Linked DNA regions of Caenorhabditis elegans. The protein of the gene in region 1 interacts with the protein of each later gene in a biochemical or structural test. Each region holds a gene or a part of one and is shown in the gene's direction. Other genes may lie near its edges.

What was found. The genes of interacting proteins can lie anywhere in the genome.
Region 2: the proteins of ung-1 (region 1) and gpd-2 form a complex in vitro, tested with the Caenorhabditis elegans proteins (one large-scale study listed by BioGRID).
Region 3: the proteins of ung-1 (region 1) and act-5 form a complex in vitro, tested with the Caenorhabditis elegans proteins (one large-scale study listed by BioGRID).

The regions. Positions count from the first base shown.
Region 1 is NC_003281.10:11,970,385-11,977,023, reverse strand, and holds ung-1 (Uracil-DNA glycosylase), read left to right. Parts: upstream 1-2,933; 5' UTR 2,934-2,934; coding exon 2,935-2,993; intron 2,994-3,038; coding exon 3,039-3,711; intron 3,712-5,284; coding exon 5,285-5,401; 3' UTR 5,402-5,557; downstream 5,558-6,639. Other genes in the region: Y56A3A.31 (SOSS complex subunit A homolog), read right to left, coding at 2,498-2,518; Y56A3A.30 (SP-RING-type domain-containing protein), read left to right, coding at 1-216, 907-1,392, 2,765-2,820; Y56A3A.28 (C2H2-type domain-containing protein), read left to right, coding at 5,666-5,758, 6,515-6,639. UniProt on the Caenorhabditis elegans protein: Excises uracil residues from the DNA which can arise as a result of misincorporation of dUMP residues by DNA polymerase or due to deamination of cytosine.
Region 2 is NC_003284.9:3,111,917-3,116,851, reverse strand, and holds gpd-2 (Glyceraldehyde-3-phosphate dehydrogenase 2), read left to right. Parts: upstream 1-2,162; 5' UTR 2,163-2,164; coding exon 2,165-2,404; intron 2,405-2,453; coding exon 2,454-2,582; intron 2,583-2,628; coding exon 2,629-3,285; 3' UTR 3,286-3,409; downstream 3,410-4,935. Other genes in the region: mai-1 (ATPase inhibitor mai-1, mitochondrial), read left to right, coding at 1,287-1,496, 1,799-1,855; gpd-3 (Glyceraldehyde-3-phosphate dehydrogenase 3), read left to right, coding at 3,531-3,770, 3,820-3,948, 3,996-4,652.
Region 3 is NC_003281.10:13,602,886-13,608,198, reverse strand, and holds act-5 (Actin), read left to right. Parts: upstream 1-2,132; coding exon 2,133-2,633; intron 2,634-2,968; coding exon 2,969-3,435; intron 3,436-3,485; coding exon 3,486-3,645; 3' UTR 3,646-3,787; downstream 3,788-5,313. Other genes in the region: shpk-1 (Carbohydrate kinase FGGY N-terminal domain-containing protein), read right to left, coding at 54-127.

The DNA.
Region 1 (6,639 bases):
TGGCTCCAAGACGTTCAGAGAGATCTCGTATAAAAAATATTTGGCTCAGCCGAGATGAAGTCGAACGATTGAGATATGAATTTGTGCCACCGCCGTCCAGAAAAGATATTCCGAAGTGCACTGCCAAGAAGCCCGAAGCTGAGATACCGAATGTAGAGCCAGAGTCCAGTTCAACTGTAGAATCACAGAGAGATGAAGATCAAGCGGTTGCGAGCGGTGAGTTCAGAGATATTGAATATTTTACATCAGGGGTGGGCGGAAAATCCGGCAAATCGGCAAATTGTGGGAATTGAAAATTTCCGGCAAATCGGAGAATAGTAAGAATTGAAAATTCACGGTAAATTGGCAATCTGCCGAAAATCAAAATTTCCGGCAAATCGCCAATCTGCCGAAAATCAGAATTGCCGGCAACTCAGCAAATTGCCGGAATTGAAAATTTCCGGCAAATCGGCGAATTTCCGAAAATCGAAATTTCCGGCAAATCGCCAATCTGCCGAAAATCAAAATTTCCGGAATTAAAAATTTCCGGCAAATCGGCACATTTCCGGAATTGAAAATTTCCGGCGAATCGGCAAATTGCCGGAATTGAAAATTTTCTGCGAATCGGAAAATAGTGGGAAATTGAAAATTTCCGGCGAATCGGCAAGTTTGCCGGAGTCGTAAATTTCTGGCAACTCAGCAAATTGGAGGAATAAAACATTTGCAGACCGGAAATTGTCGCCCACCCCTGTTTTGCACTACGCTTTGACAAGTGTGAATTTATTCGCTTTTTTTATTTGCCTGAATTTTGCCGATAAAGAAGATTTCCGGCAAAGTGGAAAATTGCCGGAATTTAAAAATTTCCGGCAAATCGGCAAAATGCCCAATTTGCCGCCCACGCCTGCTTCACAAATTGATTAATTGCAGCCTCTTCCGTAGCTGAACCTCTGGAAGAAGCCACTACAACGAGTGTGCCAGAGCCAACAGAGTTTCAATTGTCACGGGACATTTATAGCACTGTAAAGCCGACTGATGAGGCTCATAGCCCGCCGATTCAAGCCCAACCGAAGAAAAAAGCCACGCCAAGACGGAAGAAAGCAGATGACGTGGAAACTGTAGTAGCTGACGGAACAGCGACGATCCCGAAGCCGAAGAGAAAAAGGCCGCCGAGGAAGAAGCCTGAGCCGAAGCCGAATATCGTTTTTGAAACAACGCCGAATCCTCCGACAGAAAGCTTCGCAGCCAACAACAATTTCCAGCAGTTCCAGTTTCAAAATCAGCCTGGTAGTTGGACCTACAACAATGGATTCGGCAATGGATATGGGTACGGCGGTGGAACCACTGGATACATGGATAATCTTGTTGGCAGAGGGTTTGACACGGTTTCTCAGCAGCCTGGATTTCAGAATCAAGGTACATTTTTTAAAAGGAATTGAGAAAAATGTGCCAAAAAATTTTAAAGGTGGACTACGCTTTGTGGGGAAATTGCTTTAAAATACGCCTATGGTACCACAATGACCGAATATCATGATTAAAAAATTCAAAAATTTTTTCTAAATTTTATATGATTTTTTGAAAATTGGAAAAATCACAGTTTTCCCCTAATTCCTATTTGAATTACCGCCAATTGAATTTGTTCGATGGGGCGCGCTTGCACGTTTTTAAATTTATTTATTTTATTTTTTGTTATTTTCCACCGATTTTTAATGTTTTCGGTGTATTTTTGCTCGAATTTTAGAGAAAAAGTCAAAATAAATGCAAATTTTCGATTAAAAAGTGCGCTTACAGGCGTAAATCAGTGAAATTAATTAATTCAGGTTCGAAATCGTTTAAAAGCGTTACTTTTTCATTTTTACGCCTGTAAGCGTGCTTTTTAATCGAAAATTTGCATTTATGTTGATTTTTTCTCTAAAATTCGAGCAAAAATACACCGAAAACATTAAAAATCGGTGGAAAATAACAAAAAATAAAATAAATAAATTTAAAAACGTGCAAGCGCGCCCCATCGAACAAATTCAATTGGCGGTAATTCAAATAGGAATTAGGGGAAAACTGTGATTTTTTCAATTTTCAAAAAATCATATAAAATTTATAAATTTTTTTTTGAATTTTTTATCATGAAATTCGGTCATTGTGGTACCATAGGCATGTTTTAAAGCAATTTCCCCACTAGCGCTACCCCACCTTTAAAGGAATTGTGAAAATTGTGAAAAAAAAAATCAAAATTTCGAAAAAAAAAGCGCTAATTTTAACTAAAATCTCTAATTTTGGCCACTTTTCCGTGCTGCAGCGTCCGAAAGTGCACTTTTTTTGAATTATTATTCTTATTATTATACATTAAAAACCCCCGTACTCCTCCAATAACGCCAATATTATCGACCATCTGGACGTGACCGCGTGCAACCACGGCCTAGCTGCCGCCACCCCATTCAAACGAGACATTTCGGCGGGAGAGTCCTTTTTTTCGATAATTCGGATTTTTTTGTCTGTTTCAAGTAATTTTCGCCATAAAAATTACCATTTTCTTCTTCGGTGCCATTTCTAATGATTTTCCAGTGCGTTTTGAGTCTGAAAGTTTGAAAATAAGAGTTTTTGCACAAAAATGTGTGAGAAAAGTTCAAGAAAATCGTCGAAAAATTCAATAAATTAATTTTAAAATTTAAAAAAAAATTAATTTTTTTTAAAAATCAATTCTGTGCATACACCGCCACGCAAAAGTGCACACAATTACCTACCGTAGTCAATGCGAAATTAAATGATTTTTATCGATTTTCTTCATTTTCAGGTTACGAATTCACCGGTTTGCCTGCAAATAACTCGAATAATTTCCCATTTTTGTGATTTAATTTTTCAAATATCCTTATCTATGCCCTCAGGTTTATTTTATCTCATTTCCACTCGTGTTTTTTGAATAAAAATTCTTTTTTTTTCTTCTAGATTTCCGTTTATTTCAGAATGTCGAAGACTGTAAGAATTCCGGACATGTTCCTCAAAGCATCCGCTGCCTCTAAACGGTATTTCCCGCTCTGAAAATTCAAAAAAAACCACCGAAATTTCAGAAAATCCGCTTCAAATACTGAAAATATTCCGGAAAAAGTTCCCGCGGGCAATGAAAATCAAGAAGTCAAGAAAATGAAGTTACAAGCACCAGAACCAACTGAAATTCTGCTAAAATCCCTGCTAACCGGTGAATCTTGGTCGAAACTTTTAGAGGAGGAATTCAAAAAAGGCTATATTTCGAAAATCGAGAAATTCTTGAATTCCGAAGTGAACAAGGGCAAGCAAGTGTTCCCACCGCCCACACAAATTTTCACAACATTCAATCTTCTGCCATTCGACGAGATCAGCGTGGTTATCATCGGTCAAGACCCCTATCACGATGATAATCAAGCTCACGGGCTCTCCTTCAGTGTTCAGAAGGGTGTAAAACCGCCGCCATCGCTGAAAAATATCTATAAAGAGCTTGAATCCGATATTGAAGGCTTCAAGCGGCCCGATCACGGGAACCTGCTCGGCTGGACACGTCAGGGAGTGTTCATGTTGAATGCCACGTTGACGGTTCGGGCTCACGAGGCGAATTCTCACGCGAAGATCGGCTGGCAAACTTTCACGGACACTGTTATTCGGATTATTTCGCGACAATCGGAGAAGCCTATTGTCTTTTTGTTATGGGGAGGATTTGCTCATAAGAAGGAAGAACTGATTGATACAAAGAAACATGTAGTTATAAAGGTCATTATTTTTCTGGATAGAATTCTGGAAAAAGCATGGAAAAGTTGATTTTAAGATTTTTTCCCTAAAAATGTGTTGGAAAACGACAAAAATTGCCGATTTTCACCTGTAAAATCGGAAATTTTGCGATTTTGCTGGAAATTTAGGTAAAAATTGCCAGAAAACCTAGAAAAAAATTCAAGATTTTCCCATAAAATGGTAGTAAAATTGTCACTTTTCAGTTAAAAACTAAAAAAAATTCAGGGGTTTGCTCTAAATTTTCCCCTGATTCCGAATATCTATGTGAAAAATTGGAAAAAAACGTCCCTTTTATTGTAGAAAATCGACGATTTTCAAACGCGCGCCAGAGAGCCAGAGACGATTCTCATTGGAACGCACCGTGTTGTGTCGATTTACGAGATTTGTTTTTTTAAAGCCAATTTTTTGCTGTTTCTTCATTTTTTTTTTCGGTTTTTTGAACATTTTATTATTATAAAACTCGCAAAATTTCCTTATTTTTAGATGGAAAATGATTTAAATTCAGAGAAAAAAAACCGAATTTTTTCGATTTTTTCAAAGAAAATCGGAATTTTTCTTCTTTTTTTTTTTAAATAGAAAACCGGAATTTTTCTATTTCTTTCCAGAGAAAATCGGAATTTTTTCGTTTTTTTTAATTTTTTTCAAAGAAAATCGGAATTTTTTCGATTTTTTTTTTGATTTTTTAGAGAAAATCGGAATATTTTCGATTTTTTCAAAGAAAATCGGAATTTTTTCCATTTTTTCATATAGTTTTCCAGAGAAAATCGGAATTTTTTCCATTTTTTAAAAGAGAAAATCGGAATTTTTTTGAAATTTTTAAGGAGAAAATTAGAATTTTTTCGATTTTTTAAAAGAGAAAATTAAAATTTTTTTTTTCTATTTTTTCAGAGAAAAATCGAAAAACAGAAATTGTTTTTTAATCGAAAAAAAAATTCGAGAAAATTTCTATTTAAAAACTCCAATTTTCTCTTTAAAAACTCAAAAAATTCCGATTTTCTCTGAATTTACCTCCTTTTTCATCTAAAAATAGGAAATTTTCGCGGTTTTCTGATCATAAAATGTTCAATTGGCTCGAAAATACACAATTTTCAACGAAAAAAACCGATAAAAATGAATAAAAAGCTGAAAGCTGGCTCGTAAATCGGCACAAGACACAGCGCGCTTCAATGTCTGGCGCGCGTTTGAAAATCGTCGATTTTCTACAATAAAAGGGACTTTTTTTTCCAATTTTTCACATAGATATTTTAAACAAGGAGCAAATTTGGAGCAAAACCTGGAGAATCTTGTTTTTTTTTTTGGTTTTTAACTGAAAATTGACAATTTTACTACAATTTTGTGGGAAATTCTTGAATTTTTTAAAGTTTTTCTGGCAATTTTTGACATTTTCCACCAAAATTTAAATTAATTTCAAAGGGAAAAATTGATTGGTTTCAGACGTGGAAAATCGCAAAATTTTTGATTTTTGTGAAAAAAAAAACCTATTTTTTAGCGTATTTTAAAAATATTTCCACTAAACTCAAATTTAATTTTTTAAAAAATTTTAAAAAATTTCCAGACCGCCCATCCGTCTCCGCTGAGTGCTCGCAAGTGGTGGGGATGCAAATGCTTCTCGAAATGCAACACGGAGCTCGAAAATTCCGGTCGAAACCCGATTAATTGGGCGGATTTATGAATAAATTCTCCTGTCGAACACCCTGCGTCTCTTCATCTCACACACTCTCTCGCCACTCACTGAAGAACTCTGTTATTTATCGATTTTTCTATTTTCTCTTCATTTTTCCTCATTTTTTCCTCATTTTTTCGGTTTTTCATCATAAAAATTCGATTTTCTGGCCATTTTTTTGTTCAATTTCCAATTTTTCATTCGTTTCAACGATTTTTAAATGCTTTTCACGGAAATTGCAGCGAAAAATTGTTTTTTTAACAGAAAAAAAGAATGCGGCGACAAAAAACCGAAGAGGAACGGAGCTGGACTTCAATTTCTCGGCATTTTTTATGCCTTGAATGTAGAAAATATTTCCGGAATAAGGTAGAGAAGATAATATTCTAATTAAATCGCAGAAAATATATTAAAAATTGAAAAAAAAAAACCGATTTTTCCCAAAAAATATATTAAAAAACCGAAAAAATTCCAATTTCTTCTTTAAAAAAATTTAAAAACATTGAAAAATGCTAATTTTTCTTATAAAAAACGAGAAAATTCCGATTTTTCTCTAAAAATATATTAAAAATTGAAATTATTCCGATTTTTCAGTAAAAATATCAAAAAATCAGATTTTTCTCTAAAAATACATTAAAAAATCAGATTTTTCTCTAAAAATACATTAAAAAATCCGTTTTTTTTTTAAATTTATATTAAAAATCGAAAAATTCCGATTTTTCTCTTTAAAAAATCGAAAAAATTGCAATTTTCTCAAAAAAAAATCGAAAAAAAAATTCCAATTTTTCTTTAAAAATATAAATATATATATAAAAAAGCGGAAAAATTCTGATTTTCTCAAAAAAAAAATTACAAATTAAAAAAATCCGACTTTTCTCTAAAAAAATTATTAAAAATCGAAAAAGATTCCTATTTTAATTTAATACAAAAATTAAAAATCGAAAAAAAAATTCGATTTTTCTTTTAAAAAATTTAAAAAATTGAAACATTTCCGATTTTTCTCTAAAAATATATTAAAAGAATCGAAAAAATTCCGATTTTTCTCACAAAATAATTTAAAAAATCAGAAATTTTTTTTTTTTAAACGAATATTTCAATTTTAATTCAAAAAATTTCATTTTTCAGCGCGAGTTCTATTGGCACACCGAAGATTGTCTTATGGAAGCTTTTGAACGAGAAGTTGCTCTAAGCGTATCCCGTGGAGCCGACGAAGATATCGCTGAAAATGAGGAAGAATGGGATGATCAACC
Region 2 (4,935 bases), on another chromosome or scaffold:
AAGTGATTTTGAACTTTTGGTTGATATTAGCTTTTATAAAAGATCTCACGTATTCAACTGATCAGATACATTTGAATAAATTCTGATTCATCGTGTGTCTATTAGTAAATTAGATTTTCTTTCAGAAATTGAAAAAACTAGTGACTAGTGATCAGTGATAACTGATATAAAACATTCTTTGATGTCAATGAAAAACACTTTTCTCGTTGATTATTTTCCAACTCCTCCCATTTACTCCGGCCACTAGTTTGATCTTCAGAACGATTGACTAGCGACTGCGCCTTTTCATCTTCGTGTTGTTCTATATTTTATCATTGAAAACTTTCGGGTTGGAAAAGAGTTGCTCCAAGCGAAAAGAAGAGCAACTCCTCAAATCTCTTCTTTTCCTGTTACTACACTGCCGTTGCCTACGTGCCAACGGCCAGCAATCGTGTGTCGGCGACGTCGGCATCTCCATCGATTCGTGCCGGCTGGCTAGGCCGTCGTCGCACTCGCAGTTGGCCCATTTTCTCTCTATGCATCAGTTGAGGCTACCCGCCTCGCTCCCTTCACTCTCTATGTTCGCCTCGCCACGGCGGCTCCCCTAAAAAAACAGCGACCCTGCCCTGCCTTCTAAGGAAACAACACAACAGAGTTTGACTTCAAGGAGCTCACCGGAAACCAATGTTGCTCTTGCTCACAAAGACTTTTGAGGTTAGTAAATATTTTATTTCGTTCTTCTTTTTCTCGAAGGTCAAATGTTGTAAATGTTTCAAAGTCTTCAATTGTTTATGATATCAATTCACGGGCGGCTCGAAACTCTCTTCTCGACCCTTTCTCTAAATCCTCTGCAACACACGCACTATTTTCTACTAGATCAGAGTTTACTGACACACACACACGTTTTGTGCGTTCAGTTCACGAGAGTGCGGTGTGTGTGTGTGTTTGTGAGTTAATGTTTGTGCGTGTATATTGATGTGTGTGTAAAAAAAACAAAATCGATTGCCGTTTGGAAATGGGCGGCCCAGTGTCCTCGGTCTCCGGCCATCGAAACGCCACTCGCATTGTGAAATTTGTTTTGGGAGGGCCTGTTTGCATCACCTTCGCCCTTCGCTCTCACTCAAGATTACTTTACGTGCTACAAACTTGTGTGTGTGTGTTAGCTGCTTTTCTTCTTTTTCTTCTCAGAAATAAAAAAGGCATGCTCCCTTCGACGTCTTCTTGACAGCTTTCTTCTTTCGCTTCTCTTTACTTTTGGAGCCATGCTCATATAATCCAGTTAGTTCATTTCCAGGAAATCAAAACAGATGTCAGGATCTGGAAGTGGAAGTGGTGCTGGACATGGTGGAGGCTCCGGCGGCTCAATCCGTGAAGCAGGTGGATCACTCGGCATGATGGGCGCCACCAGAGAAGAAGAATACTTCCGAAGACAACAAAAAGATCAGTTGGACAATCTCAAGAAGAAGCTTGAAGCAGATATGACGCAAAGCCAACAGGAAATTCGGGATCATGAAAAGGTACGAGACACTCCATTTAAGGAAAACACGCAGGAAAATATTGTTGTTGATTAACTCGTTATTCTTTGATGTGTCACATGACACTGCCGAAACTCTTATCTGCGAAAGTGGCGTGTTCTAGAACTGATTCAAAATAGACCGGGGACTCCTTTCGAATCTCTCTATTTTACACAGTTGACCTTGATATGTTAGAGAGACGGGCGACTAGCGAGCATAATGAAGAGATAGATTGGTTTTCACAAACAATCTCTTTTTTTTTGTTTTCCACTACCTTTCAACGTTCTTCAATACTTTCATTTCAGGTTCTCGAACAACATCAGCAACGACTGAAGGAAATCGAGAAAGGACACGGAACATAAAAAATAGAGGGCTTTTCAAACGGCTCTCTGTTCTTTTTGCATCATCATTTTCAATTTTCCCTTTCTTTTTATGCATACTTATTCTCTCCTCTCTATTTTCTCTCTCACACCGCATTTCTTCATCTTGCCTATTGCATCATTTTTTTTTCGCTTACTGCACATGTTTCGTCAAATAGTAAACATGGTTTTTATGGCTTCACTTCATATTCTTCTCTCTTCAATTTGATTCGATTTTCATTTCGATCATTCTATTTTTATTTGTCGTTTGTATGTTAGTTGAACTGATTGTAGTAGTATCAATTTTCAGCCATGCCAAAGCCAAGTGTCGGAATCAACGGATTCGGAAGAATCGGACGTCTTGTCCTCCGCGCCGCTGTCGAGAAGGACAGTGTCAACGTTGTTGCCGTCAACGATCCATTCATCTCCATCGACTACATGGTCTACTTGTTCCAGTACGACTCCACCCACGGACGCTTCAAGGGAACCGTTGCTCACGAGGGAGACTACCTTCTTGTCGCCAAGGAAGGGAAGTCGCAGCACAAGATCAAGGTAGAATATTTTCCAAACATATTTTGTTAAACATTCTCTTAAATTTCAGGTCTACAACTCAAGAGACCCAGCTGAAATCCAATGGGGAGCCTCTGGAGCCGACTATGTCGTTGAGTCCACCGGAGTCTTCACCACCATCGAGAAGGCCAACGCTCACTTGAAGGGAGGAGCCAAGAAGGTAACTTGTAATCAACTTTTGTGCATAAATATATTTAAATTTTTAGGTCATCATCTCTGCTCCATCTGCTGATGCTCCAATGTTCGTCGTCGGAGTCAACCACGAGAAGTACGATCATGCCAACGACCACATCATCTCCAATGCTTCCTGCACCACTAACTGCCTTGCTCCACTTGCCAAGGTCATCAATGACAACTTCGGAATTATTGAGGGACTTATGACCACTGTCCACGCCGTCACCGCCACCCAAAAGACTGTTGACGGACCATCAGGAAAGCTCTGGAGAGACGGACGTGGAGCTGGACAGAACATCATCCCAGCCTCTACTGGAGCCGCTAAGGCTGTTGGAAAGGTTATCCCAGAGCTCAATGGAAAGCTCACCGGAATGGCTTTCCGTGTCCCAACCCCAGATGTGTCTGTTGTTGATCTCACTGCTCGTCTTGAGAAGCCAGCTTCCCTCGATGACATCAAGAAAGTTATCAAGGCTGCCGCTGACGGACCAATGAAGGGAATTCTCGCTTACACTGAGGATCAAGTTGTCTCCACCGACTTTGTCTCCGATACCAACTCTTCCATCTTCGATGCCGGAGCATCCATCTCACTCAACCCACACTTCGTCAAGCTCGTCTCGTGGTACGATAACGAGTTCGGATACTCCAACAGAGTTGTTGATCTCATCTCGTACATCGCCACCAAGGCCTAAGCTGTCTCATCCTACTTTCACCTAGTTAACTGCTTGTCTTAAAATCTATGCTTCTCTTTAGTATCTAAAATTTTCCTAGAAGCTTACAAGTATATAAATGGTCTCTTCTCAATAAAGGTTGTATATTTATTCATCTTATTGAATCTGCCATTTCCTCGTTTTTGCGAGTTTATATACCTTCCAATTTTCTTTCTATTGTATTTTCAACTTCTAATTTTAATTCAGGGAAACTGCTTCAACGCATCATGACCAAGCCAAGTGTCGGAATCAACGGATTCGGAAGAATCGGACGTCTTGTCCTCCGCGCCGCTGTCGAGAAGGACAGTGTCAATGTTGTTGCCGTCAACGATCCATTCATCTCCATCGACTACATGGTCTACTTGTTCCAGTACGATTCCACTCACGGACGCTTCAAGGGAACCGTTGCCCACGAGGGAGACTACCTTCTTGTCGCCAAGGAAGGAAAGTCCCAGCACAAGATCAAGGTAGAATTATTTCCAATTAGATTTCACCTAATATTCTATTCAATTTCAGGTCTACAACTCAAGAGACCCAGCTGAGATCCAATGGGGAGCCTCTGGAGCCGACTATGTCGTTGAGTCCACCGGAGTCTTCACCACCATCGAGAAGGCCAATGCTCACTTGAAGGGAGGAGCCAAGAAGGTAAATTAGTGATTTAATTTTTCAAGATAAATATATTTAAATTTCAGGTCATCATCTCTGCTCCATCTGCTGATGCTCCAATGTTCGTCGTCGGAGTCAACCACGAGAAGTACGATCATGCCAACGACCACATCATCTCCAATGCTTCCTGCACCACTAACTGCCTTGCTCCACTTGCCAAGGTCATCAATGACAACTTCGGAATTATTGAGGGACTTATGACCACTGTCCACGCCGTCACCGCCACCCAAAAGACTGTTGACGGACCATCAGGAAAGCTCTGGAGAGACGGACGTGGAGCTGGACAAAACATCATCCCAGCCTCTACTGGAGCCGCTAAGGCTGTCGGCAAGGTTATCCCAGAGCTCAATGGAAAGCTCACCGGAATGGCTTTCCGTGTCCCAACCCCAGATGTCTCTGTTGTTGATCTCACTGCTCGTCTTGAGAAGCCAGCTTCCCTCGATGACATTAAGAAGGTTATCAAGGCTGCCGCTGACGGACCAATGAAGGGAATTCTCGCTTACACCGAGGATCAAGTTGTCTCCACTGACTTTGTCTCCGATACCAACTCTTCCATCTTCGATGCCGGAGCATCCATCTCACTCAACCCACACTTTGTCAAGCTCGTCTCATGGTACGATAACGAGTTCGGATACTCCAACAGAGTCGTCGACCTTATCTCCTACATTGCTACCAAGGCCTAAGCCGCTTCAAATTCTCTAAGTCTGAAATGAATCTGTAACATAATAAATTCCACATTATTGTAACTTTGATTCTCATTTTCTTTATAAGAATAAATCTTTTAGCTGGAGTAACTAAAACTGTGTTGTTGGATAGAAAGCATTTTTCAATGGCTATATCAAATTTGAAACGTTGAATTCGAACCTTTCACGAGGTTTACACTCATTTATATTCTTCGTTGTGATTGTCCGTCATACAAACCCGATTAAGTTTCCGTCTAGCCTCTATGTTTACATTAAATTGAGA
Region 3 (5,313 bases), 1.6 Mb from region 1:
TGTGCAGGCAATTTTATTTTTATTAATTTTGTGATTATATTGAATTTTCTCACTTTTCCCCATTCCTTGCACAAATTTTAGCCGAAGTTGTGCCAATATCAATGCCAACATGAACTTGCTCCGTCATCAATGATGATAAGAGTTTCCAATTTTAAGAGGAATCGGGGGTGAGGTTTCCTGGAATGAGAAGAAGCTTGAAAATGATAAGAACGGGCATAAATAGAGAGTGAGAGGGTGCAAGAGAAACAGAAAAATAGAAGAGTGGGGGAGACTGTTTTGGAGCGTTTTGGAGGTGTGCAGAGGCGGGAGTTTATGGATTTGCATAATTGAGGAAAGAAATTGGAAAAACATTATAAATCTATTGCAAACATAAAGCAAGTATGATTATAAGATTTAAAGATGGAGTACCGAAATCTGAGACTTTGCTTTTTTTAGATCCGAAGTGACCCAAAACTACCAAATTTCGTAATGAGAAGTTTTGAAAATTTCACAAAAACAATTCGTTGATGCAAGTACATTTTCGGTCAGTGGGGCACAAAAATGTAACTTTTCTTTGAAAACTAAAAACGTTTAAGAAATGAAAAGTGTTACCAGTTGACAACTTTTGTTATTTTTAACTAGTGTAGAGTTACTGTAGTTTGAATAGTGCTACCTGGAACAAAACATTGAACTCCGATACCTCGTCCGACAAGTGATACATATTAGAATATTGCCAAAACAGTTTTTAGATTATCTTTTTTTTGTTCAACTGACAGTTATTTCTTGGTAATGAAGATTTTTCAGTAATTTAGATTATCATGTAATGATGTTATAATGTAGTTAGAAGATTTATAGTAAATGCACAAACATATAGTTTAACCACCTATAAGCCTCTACAGCCGAAAAGTTAAAATATACTATCCAACACATGAATCTACATAAATTTTGTTATTTAGTTTACAACTTTTTTCTTTTCCTTTTTGTTGCCATGTTACATACATTCCCAGGAAGCTGCCGGCTGCTATTTTCACGTTTTTCAGATTGTCGATATCTCAATTATTCCATTTCTAATTGCTTTTTTCAAAATAATAATTAAACTATTAATTTCTTCCACACTTCGACCGATTTCTCATCTTTCCTCTTTGTTATCAGTGATAAGCAGAATAGGGTAGTAGTAACTTTTACGGGTATTTTGGGATTATACGGAAAGGGTAATGTAATGAAACTTTGAATCTTCGGCACTTTCAAGATTAGCTGCACCCTAACATTAAAAAAATATAGTTTATGATCCTAAATTTCTATTGTATTTCTAACTAGCATTGACTCATTACTTATCAGTGACTCATTTTCCCAGTATGGCTTCTTTAAGAGGAATGGTAGGCGGAAACTTCAATTTTAGGGAGTATTTAAAAGTTGGAGTCAATTGGAATGTTATCACTTTATTTTTTCTAGTTTTACATTCCTAGCGCTCCAGTGACTGGCGGTAGTTGATTTTTATCTCTTGGGGGTTTTTTATCTTAGGAGGTCATGTAAAGTTGTCAACTGACAATGTATAACATTTTTTTGAAATGCTTTGTTAGTGGACCAGCCGGCTTGAGCTACTGGAAAGTTCGGGGAGCCCGGATGTAAGCCTGTTGGCCTGCATTTTCAAAAATTTCGTAGGTTTATTCCATATTTGTTATACTGATTTGAGCAATTTTATAAAATCGGCCATAGCTAACAGCCTCCCAGTGCATATCATGTCAATTGACAATTTCATGTTCTAGAATTGAGCACAAATTCTGACAGGCTGCTTACATCATGCTCACCAAACTATGACTTTGTCTGTGTGACGTGATAATTTGTGTGTGTGTGTGTGTGTGAGTGTGTACATATAACCACCACGTACCTGCAATTCTTAGAACGAAGTGAGAGAGGGAGTTATCAGTATCAAACGCACACACATATATACATACAGAATGTGGCATATTCTCTCCATTCTCTCTTTTTCTCGTTTTCCCCCCGATGGTGAGCTGGCTGCGGTACTGATAACACACTTTGCATTTTTGGGGAAATGTGGCAACATTTTCATTTTTCGGCATTTTATAGTACTCGTACATCACTTAATAACGTTTTCTATAAACTCGACTTCTTCAACCTTTTATTAATTTCAGATGGAAGAAGAAATCGCCGCCCTCGTTGTCGACAATGGATCCGGAATGTGCAAGGCCGGATTCGCCGGAGACGATGCTCCACGCGCCGTCTTCCCGTCCATCGTCGGACGCCCACGTCATCAGGGAGTGATGGTCGGTATGGGACAGAAGGACTCGTATGTCGGAGATGAAGCACAATCCAAGAGAGGAATCCTCACCTTGAAGTACCCAATCGAGCACGGAATCGTCACCAACTGGGATGATATGGAGAAAATCTGGCATCACACATTCTACAACGAGCTTCGTATCGCCCCAGAGGAACACCCAGTTCTCCTTACCGAGGCTCCATTGAACCCAAAGAGCAACAGAGAAAAGATGACACAGATCATGTTTGAGACCTTCAACACTCCAGCCATGTACGTCAACATTCAGGCTGTGCTTTCCTTGTACGCTTCCGGAAGAACCACCGGAATCGTTTTGGACACCGGAGATGGTGTCACTCACACCGTTCCAATCTATGAAGTAGGTAGATGGGTTTAGAGAATATAAGAAGACAGCAATCTTCTTTGACTTGGCGGTGTAAAGTTTTGGAGATTACGTCTGCTTCGACTAATTTTTGCAGCCAGAAACAGGCTCACAGCGCTTTCGGAAACTTTTAGTTCAGCTCAGCAGCTCTTATCCTTAGTTTTAAGTTTTTGGAACTGTAAGAACTTAGTAAGAGCAAGGCCACCTCATTTCTCTGCAAATCATAGCCTGAGCTTCTGATCTTCTTATCTGATCCACAATCTTCTTGTGAGAATTCTTTGGGATCTAAGAAATCTAGAACCTACATCCGATCTTATCTTCTAATCTTCCAGGGATATGCCCTCCCACATGCCATCCAACGTCTCGATCTTGCCGGACGCGACTTGACCGACTACATGATGAAGATCCTCACCGAGCGCGGTTACACTTTTACCACCACCGCCGAACGCGAAATCGTCCGGGACATCAAAGAGAAGCTTTGCTACGTCGCCCACGACTTCGAGTCCGAGCTCGCCGCCGCCGCCTCCTCCTCCTCCCTCGAGAAGAGCTACGAGCTTCCCGACGGACAGGTTATCACCATCGGAAACGAGAGATTCCGCTGCCCAGAAGTCCTCTTCCAGCCTGCCTTCATCGGAATGGAAGGTGCCGGAATCCACGAGACCACCTACCAATCCATCATGAAGTGCGATGTCGACATCAGAAAGGATCTCTACGCCAACACTGTTCTCTCCGGAGGTACCTCCATGTTCCCAGGAATCGCTGATCGTATGCAAAAGGAGATTCAACATTTGGCTCCAAGGTAAGCTTCACATTTCTCAGTACATGAGATTATAATTCTTGTATTTTCAGCACAATGAAGATCAAGATTATTGCTCCACCAGAGCGCAAGTACTCCGTCTGGATCGGAGGATCTATTCTTGCTTCCCTCTCAACCTTCCAGCAAATGTGGATCTCCAAGCAGGAGTACGACGAGTCCGGCCCATCGATTGTTCACCGAAAGTGCTTCTAAGCTGATTTTTTTTCAAATTTTTTTTTTCAACATGTGCCTTCCATTTCTAGGCGAAACACGATTTTACTTGACACAAATTCCATGAGATACTTCATTTTCTTTATATTTATGGTTTCTTAACATGAATAAACTTGTTAGGACCACTTGCTACTTGGGAATTGAGTAAAATTGATGGTACTTGTGTATTATTTCCCCTCATTTTTTAAAATATAATTTTAAATAAAAACGTGTGGAGTTTTTGTTTTTTAGGCTTAGGAAATAATCATTTCTAAGCCTAAAGATGGAAAATGGACATCACGTTTTATTAAAATGGATAATATTAAAATGAGGGGAAATAATGCACAAGTACCAAATTGATTTTACTTAGAAATTAAGAAAAAAAAACAAACAAATAAGTTAACCTAAACCGGATCTGCCGTTCGGCAACTCCGGTACCATCCGGTTCCCGTTTTTTTCGGTGATACAGAGCTTTCTTGATACTTTTTTGACAACTTCCATAATTTTTATCTTGTTGCAATAACTGGGAAAAAGAAATTTTAAAAAGTGAACTGAAAAATGACTCTTGAGAAAAAATGATCGTACGGTCTTATAGTTTTACTGTAAAACATTTTTGATAGTTTGCAACATCCATTTTGATTTCTTATGGAAAATCGGTTCTTTTTGCTATAGAGAGCATGCAATTCTTCAAATAAAGTTGTCTCTAACTACAAGAAACCACCTTTCTGAAAAATGAGTCAAAAATGAGTAGATACATGCAATATCGGCGGGAATTATAAATATCCATAAATTGTGCCCAATTCTAAATTCTATTGCACTAAATATCCAGATGCAAATTTTTCCGAAATTACAAAAATTTTCGAGTAGCAGCCAGCAACAAGCTTTCGATAGGTACATAGTGATTTCTCGCAGGAAAAAGGATGAATTAATTTTAAAATGTTGAGCGCGTTCACACTACATATTTTTCAAATTGCACGCAATGTTACCTGCTTTTCTCCGGAGAAAAAAAAATAGTGAACATTTAAATAATCGGAAAAAAGTACGAAAAAAATTAGGAGCCGATTATTAAACTGAAAACTCTTCTTATAGAATTCGATTAAATTTTTTGTCAATTTTTTTCTTACACGTAAATACATTTCTTCCGACTTTTTTTTTTCAAAATTCACAATTCTAGTCAGACGGTTACGGTTCATTTGTTGTAAGTTTGTATAAAAAAACATTCCAAAAAGTTTAAACGTGCCGGCCTACAGATTTCCTCAATAGTTAAAATATTTTTTTCGCGTGGGTGGTCAAACTCAATTTATTACGAGCTTGGCTCTACTCGACGAACAACTCTCGATTGCAAATTCTAATAACCGTAAGTTTCTACACAGATTTTCCAGACATGAAATAAAGTTTTAGGTAAAAATGACTCACTTGAACTTTGAAACTCGCATGCCTCTTGGAACAGCCGTCATTGATCAATTCTTGGGACTTCGTCCTCATCCGACAAAGATCCAGGCGACCTACGTGTGGATCGATGGAACTGGGGAAAATCTCCGTTCGAAAACGCGAACCTTTGATAAACTTCCGAAGAGAATTGAGGACTATCCCATCTGGAATTATGATGGAAGCTCGACGGGGCAGGCAAAGGGACGTGACTCGGATCGTTATTTGCGTCCAGTCGCTGCC